2 linked regions of the Xenopus tropicalis genome follow. The protein of the gene in region 1 interacts with the protein of each later gene in a biochemical or structural test. Links are inferred from orthologs where the notes say so. Each region holds a gene or a part of one and is shown on either strand. Other genes may lie near its edges.

Evidence for each region.
Region 2: the proteins of tert (region 1) and cib1 form a complex in vitro, tested with the Homo sapiens proteins (2 studies listed by BioGRID). The link is inferred for Xenopus tropicalis from reciprocal best matches to the Homo sapiens genes TERT and CIB1.

What each region holds. Positions count from the first base shown.
Region 1 is NC_030682.2:58,817,889-58,821,453, reverse strand, and holds part of tert (telomerase reverse transcriptase), read left to right. Parts: intron 1-801; coding exon 802-2,380; intron 2,381-3,565. UniProt on the Homo sapiens protein: Telomerase is a ribonucleoprotein enzyme essential for the replication of chromosome termini in most eukaryotes. Active in progenitor and cancer cells. Inactive, or very low activity, in normal somatic cells.
Region 2 is NC_030679.2:108,225,675-108,229,837, forward strand, and holds the start of cib1 (calcium and integrin-binding protein 1), read left to right. Parts: upstream 1-1,300; 5' UTR 1,301-1,324; coding exon 1,325-1,375; intron 1,376-3,255; coding exon 3,256-3,290; intron 3,291-4,163. UniProt on the Homo sapiens protein: Calcium-binding protein that plays a role in the regulation of numerous cellular processes, such as cell differentiation, cell division, cell proliferation, cell migration, thrombosis, angiogenesis, cardiac hypertrophy and apoptosis.

The sequences.
Region 1 (3,565 bases):
CCAGGGGTTTTCAGATTATTTGGGTTCTTGAATTCTTGACCTAAAAGTTTAAAACTCGAGATCTCTGATTTTAAAGCCATCATGCGCGACACGCGCTGCACCATTAAGGGACGTACGTGCTCTGTTACTGCTTCTAATTACCGAACCGATGGGACACACATCAAGCCGTGGCGCGTTACAGTGGGGCACACATTCACTAAAAAAGGCACATAAAAAGACCACTAAAAAAATATAAAAAAAAAAACTTTTAAGGACAGATCTTTAGAAATAAAAAAGTTCCAATGATGCACTGTGCCTACTTAGGATTTGTAAGTAATTATTTTTGGTAATGGAAATTCACTAATGATGGGAGCGCACACAGCGCACAGAACCAATGGGACGAGCACAAAGCACACAGCAGGATGGCAAGTACTTGATAATTAGTATGGCAGCTTCCTTAGCCTTCCCAAACTTGCTTTTGTCTGCTGCTGTAGCATTTTTCTTTACCTAAAGTTATCTATTATTTATTTATCTGTTATTTGATTATTGAAACTTAGCAGTAGCGGCTGCATTTCCCTCCCTAGGCTTATACTCGAGTCAATAAGTTTTTCCAGTTTTCTTAGGAGTTTGCATGAGTTTTATTTATTTTAAATATATGATTGTATAGGTTAGCCTTTAAATGTTATATCATTAAGTAAGAGAACTTCTTTTTGATTACCCACAATATTACATTGAAAGCATTTGTAGAAGAACAGTTATTTCATGAAAATACTATAAATTCATTCATCCCTAGACATAATATATTTTCTCTTCTTCTTTTAGCTATCAACTCAGAGAGAAGTAGTGGCGCGAGTAATTCAGCGGATTTGTGAAAAGAAAAGAAAAAATGTTCTTGCTTTTGGTTATGGCTTAGTTGATGAAAATAGCTCTCTGAATATTCGATTGACTCCAAATATTTGCAGTTATTTTCCTAATTCCACAACAACAACAATCAGCACAAGTATTCTTTGGGAAACTCTGCTTACTAGAGTAGGTGATGATGTTATGATGTATTGGCTGGAACAATGCTCAGTTTTTGTATTTGTGCCACCTAGTTGTTGTTATCAAATCAGTGGGCAGCCAATCTACACTTTACCCTATGATAGTATGTGTTCATTTCGATCTCAGTCATTTATGCATAGCAATGTTTTGTTGCAGTACATTAAAAGAAATGCCTTTTTCTTGCGGAAAAAATATCTGAAGCCAAAAAAATGGTGGAAAACGGTGTTAAACAGCAAAGTAGAAAAACATTCAAAGACTTCTCAAATGCTAACATGGCAAAATAAAAAGTCCACATCAGCATTGCCTATTTGTAGTGAGTCATCTATGAAAGTTACCACAAAAATACATTCCAAAAGGAAGATGTGTACTACAGATATTTGTGACATTCCAACTAAGAAACGCAGAGTCAACTTGGACAAAGATGATAAAATGGACCACGTTTCCTTTACGTCTGCATGTCTTTCTTCCTTCTCAAATGTGTGCCCTGAAGCTAAAGTACAAGCAACGGAATTTATTACCTCAAGATATGGAAAAAAAACAAAAATTCAATGTCCAAAATCGACTTCATACTCAGTTGATGGTGAATTTAATGTAACTCTTCAAAATAATGCTAATACGTTTATTACCAATGCTTCTGTCCCTACAATACAAAGCAAAACTTCATTTTCAAATATTTTTATTGAAATTGGAAGAACATTGTATTCAAGTATTAGTTTCAAGAAGGGCTTCTCTGAAAGTTTTATACTTAACAGTTTAGACTGTACCCCTTCTGGGAGCCAAAAATTAGTGGAAACCATATTTCTAAACAACTTTTTAACTGAGCAAAATTTTGACCAGCCAAAACGGGATGAAAACTTTAGATCTAAACTTCCCAAACGTTATTGGAGAATGAGAAAATATTTCCAAGAATTAATACAGAACCATAAGAATTTCCCTTATCTGGTATATTTGAATAAACACTGCCCTGTTAGGCCTTCAATGGCTTGTTCACACAAACTGGCGTTGCAGAAAAAGAATAAATGTAAAATGGATAAATCAATTTGTGACTTAAGTAATACCTCAGTTATGAAAAACAAAATTGTAAATGATGAAAAGCCGCTAAAACATGTTCCAGCCGAAGCAACTTTTTTACCTCTTCTTAAACAACACAGCAGCAGTTGGCAAGTGTACATGTTTGTTAGAGAATGTTTAAATAGTTTAGTGCCTGATTTCATATGGGGCTCCAGTCACAACAAGTGCCGTTTCCTTAGAAATGTAAAATCTTTTCTTTTTTTTTCTGGCAAATTTGGCAAGGTCTCTTTATTAGAGCTTATGTGGAAGATGAAAGTAGAAGACTGCTCTTGGATTCGTCTACGAAAAAGTAAGTGAACTATAAAGTATTTAAACTCTTTTGAACTTATTTGCAGATCTGTCAACTAAGCTACGTACAGTATTAAAGCTATTAATGTGTACTTTACATATCTATCAACATTGTGCTAAGCCAGTGTTGACAGATGTGCAAATATGGATAAGTAGAGTGTCTAATGAATCTACATGATTCAAATCTGTTGATCTTAAATGCTTCCTGTTTGTGTAACTAATCCATTTAACTAGAGAGTGTGAGTTTAAGTAAAAGCGCACACATGCCTAAAAAGATGTATGAACTATAAAGTATTTTAAGTATTGCTGAAAGAGTTATCTGTGGAGGATTTCACTGTTTATGATTAAGTTAATTTAATCCAGATAGCATAGATCATTATTTTATGCTTAATATAATACTTCACTGACCAGGACTTGTATAAAAGTTTCAAATCAATGTAACCCTTCCAGGTTGTTATGTGTTCTGTGATTGCTTGGCTACACCCCCAGTTGCAGTGCAGTTAAGCATGTTATTGGTATACAATGCCAACGCTGTGCAAATTTGCTCATAGCAACTGATGAGTGATTTGTCTGAAACTAGTCTAGTTTATTTTGCTGGATATGTGGTTAAAAAGGAAACAAAACCCTCATCTTTAAACTTAATTGTTCTGAGTTGTAAGATGATCTATACTACTTTAAGATGGTTTTGATTTTTTGAATGGTTTATCCATGCTACTGCCCCTCCCCAGCCTGCAGTGGTTTGCTCATTAACATGGATAGCGAAAAGAACAAATTCCCTTGGACAATAGATCTACACCTGCAAAAAGTGTAAAGTTTTTAAAGGTGCCCATACACCGAGAGATCTGCTCATTTGGTGAGGTCAAAACACGAAAAAGGCAGGCACTCCGTAACTCCAAATGAACGTCAAATAGTGGCTCAAAAAAGTTTATAGTAAAAACAAAAAAGTTACACATAATGCTACAAAGCCTTATACGTTTTGTACCTATATGGTACTTAATCATAGGCTCATTTGGTGAGGTCGCCAAAGGAGCGGATCTTTCCCTGACATGTCCATCTTGAAGTGGGCGATATCAGATCACATTGATGGAATACAGGCCATCGCCACGAGGACTGCATGGAAGCGCAGATGTGCTTTTCGCCCCAAGGGATTTTTATACTTGTCTAATTGACAGCTGTTGGGCTCATA
Region 2 (4,163 bases), on another chromosome or scaffold:
TGAAAGAGGTCCTGTATTTCCTATGCAGGAAATAGCCCTGTATATAGAGGTTTGTGCCATGTACCTTCTTTACCCTAAAACAGTGATCCTTAACTAGAGGTTTGTAAGCAGCATGTTGCTCACCACCCCCTTTGATGTTGCTCTCAGTGGCCTCAAAGCAGGTGCCCATTCTTACATTTCTGGCTTGGAGGCAAGTTTTGGAAGCATAGAGACATGGATTTACCCCAAGCAGAGCCTCCTGCAGGCCAGCAGCCCACATGGGGTACCAAATAGCCAATCACAGCCCTTAGTTGGCACCCCAAAGAACTTTTTTTCATGCTTGTGTGGCTCCCCAACACTTTATACATCTGAGTGTGGCTCACGAGTGAAAACGTTTGGGGATCCCGGCACTACAACATGAGATCCTTCCTAAAGTGTCCTATACAGGAATTAGCCCTAGTAGAAAGGATAGCTCTACGTACCCTACACCATAAGATCGTGGAAAGTAGCAATCAAGATGACTCGCCCGGTTCCATTCATAGCCGGTCCACAAGCTGCTCTATACAGCTGCAAGGCTCAGCGTCTGTGTACTTCCTGCCTGGACTGTACCACTACCTGTACGGGGGGGAATTTCGACGTCCTTGAAAGTAGGATAATTCCTCCTAGTTTCCAAACAAATTATTTTGGGCTGGTTGGTTTTGAATACAAATGTTAAAGTCACTGATTCGTGTAGTATGTTTTAGGACTGCGATTAAGCATCTACATATGTCAAACCCCTTTGATCCGTCCATGGATGGTTTTTACCTCCACATCGCAAATTCTGACAGCGTAAAACTCTTTAGTGAATGAACTTAAAGGGGTTGTTCGTTATACTTGCAGTCACCCGTATAGGCCTTACCAGGGCTGCAGGGAAATGTAATTAAAAATAGAAAAAGCTGGGAAGCCACAACCCAGGTCAAAAGTGTGTAAGGGGGGGGGCGTCTAATATAGCATGTCAAATATACGATAAGTGAAATGTGTTTCTACTGGGAAGGCGGGGCGGCGAATTGTGGGTTTATATTTATAGTGCCATCCTTGTTCTCATTTCTAAGCACTAATCGTGCAGCAGTAGATACATACAGTAGCCCTGCAACAAGAACGCGGAGGGGCGGAGGGGCGGAGGGGCGGAGGGGCGGAGGGGCGGGGCGGGGCGGGGAAGGAGTGGTGGGGCGGGGCTACCTGGAATATGCAAATACTTTGTTGCTTTGGGAGACGGTGACGTCGGAGGCGGAAGTGGGCAGAAAGTTGCTGAAGTTTCGGGGTGAAGTTACCTGTGAGGAAGGAGGCGGTTTGGGGTGTCAGTGACATGGGGAACTCATCAAGCCATCTCTCCAAACAGCTCATTAATGAATATCAGGTACCGGTGGGCAAGTGCTAGGTACCCGGAAATGAAAGCGGCAGATATGTATTATTCACGCTTGTATTGTGCTGGGCAAGGTGCTAGGGTCTGCTCTATGTTCAGATCGAAATATGCTTCAAAGTGCAGTTGTCTCTTTAGGGGTTGGAGCCCAATATGCCGAGGAAGGTCGGATATCAATGCGCTGAACCGAGAGCTCGGCATGACAAGCGCCTGTCAGGAAACCTTTGGGGGCCGCACAATGCGATTAGGTTTCACATTAACAGCACTCAGCAGCTTTCTATTAGCTAAACCATATGTTGTATTTATAAAATGAACTTTGATGGGCAGATTTATCAAATGTGAGTGTAGAGCTTAATACATAAAAATACACCTACGCCCTATTCCTTCTTGTGGGATTTTTAGAAGTGTATTTATCAAATGGTGAGTTCTAACTTTCACCCATTGCTAAATACGCTTTTAAAAATCCCATAGGAATAAATAGAAGGTTGGCGAGTTTTTATATATTACATTTTGATAAATCTGCCCTAGTGTGTTCAAGACAACAATATTTGGAGACAGTGCCATTGGCTTTTAACTTTAGTTGTGTTGTGTAACATTTTGTTTTAAAGCCTTAAAGGTTATCTGGCTGCTTGGGTTTTATTGACTAGCAACCTGCTACTGGTTTGAATGACAGACTTGAATGACAATTAAATAGAGGGACTGACAATAAAGTAAAAAAGTAATATGACAGTATAACCTGAATTATGTTTTACAGAGGGCAAAACAATTGTGTATAATTGGGAAATTGTAAAAGCAGGGAGATGTTAAAGTATTGTGACAACTGCCTTTACACTTATTTTATTTATAAGTCAAACTTCCATTTATACAGGAACCCGCCAGAAAGAAAACATTTGTTGATTGTATAGAAACATTCTGAAGTAAAACAAAATTTATACGCAGTGTAATTGGCTGAATGCTAGCACTCTAGCTTTCCCTCTGGCTCTGGGGAATACAGTGACAGGAGCCAGAATTACAAGTATGTTTTATTCTAGTCAGGGGTGAAAGTTTTTAGGCACAGCCCTTACCTGGTACTGTAACAGGAACTCCATACAGACAAAACTTTGCTTTAAGGCTTTTGCTGACAAGCATTTCCTTATGCACTTCCCTATGGTGGCTGTTATATGCATTCTGCCTCAAGGGAATGTGTTAGTTAACTCAGACTCATTATTTCCAATAGTAGCTGTGCTATCTAAGCTACACTAAACAGGTGGGACACTGCTTTCTTTTGGTGGATCCATTATCATAGGTTCAGATCTGATATTACTAAAAAATATCCAGAAGGAGAAAGTTGCCTTTAATAGATTGGTCACCACAAAAGCATAATTAGAGATCAGTGTAAAACTCATGTATTTAAAAAGCCGTAATTAAGTTGTGTTGCAGTTTTGTTGCATAAGGAAACAAAAACAATATCCCTTTATGGTGGGGTCACGAAATGAGCAGATCTGTGTTTGATTTGACCACCTGTATTCTGGGCTAAATCAGTTTGATCTGATCGTTTGGTTCCTAGCCCAATGATTATATCATAATGTGCGCCTATACAGAGCCGGCAGGAGAGGGCCACATTAACGTGCCGATATGGCCACTACCCGACAGGATATATAGACCTGCCTATACGTTTAAGCCACGTATCTATTGAATAGGCCATTAGGGAGGGACCATATTCTGGCAAATATGCTTCTGACCCACTGCTTTTTAGAGAACCTGTGCACCACCCAGTATGGAAGCAGAGGAACTATCATGGTTTCTTCTCAGTGTATGTCTGTGTATATGGTGGTAGTCTACATTTTGTTTTTCATTACTGAGTTCATTTTTAAAGTAACTTATTATTTTCATTTTAGGAGCTGACATACCTGACAAAGCAAGAGATAATCTTGTAAGTACTGACCTGCTAGTTTTTCAGTGACTACAGTCATACTGCTGCTGAGAGAAAGAGTGCACAGACCATAAGTGAACTTACAGACTAGAGCAGTGTTGTCAGCTGAAGGCTCATGGGCTAGATTAGATGCTACAAGAGATCTTTATGGTCCACATGTATTTTTGTATGACTGGGGAATTTGTGGGATAACAGCGGGGTTTACTTCCCCTGAGTGGATTATTTGGCCAGTTAAACTCTTCTTAAAGGAAAAGTAACACAAAACATTTTTAAGTAAAAAAAAATCTATTCTACCCTGCCCCCAAATTGCCCTATCCTGCAAACCATTTATTATTTTGAATGCTGTAGTACAAAATACCTGTTAAAAGTTGGCTTCCGGTCATTTGAAGAAAGGCGATGCAGGTGAAGTATCGGGGGAAGTGTCCACTAGGGCAATTATTGGGGCAGGGTAGAATAGATTTTTTACTTAAAATTTTTTTGTGTTACTTTTCCTTTAAAAAGTTATTCATTTTCTAAAGGTCAGGTTTCTGTGGCTGGAATGAGATCATAAACACAACCATAGTGATACCTAACTTATTCTGTTTCCTTGTTTACTGGATAAAGTACCAATAGTTACTTGCTGCTAAATACTGTTGCTTCATTATTTCTGTTTCCTTTTTTTGTAACAAAGGGTCATAGTGCACAAACCTGTGTTGTTAGACTTTAGTTTCTTAACAACTATAGGCTTTCAAGACAAAGAAGTTAGTCATCAATACAAGTATAGGATCTATACTCTGGAATGCCTGGACTTTTCCAGCCAAGAAATAATTTCATAATGTGGAACCGCATGCCTAAATGTTTCCTATACATGTACACAGTGAAAAAATTAAGATA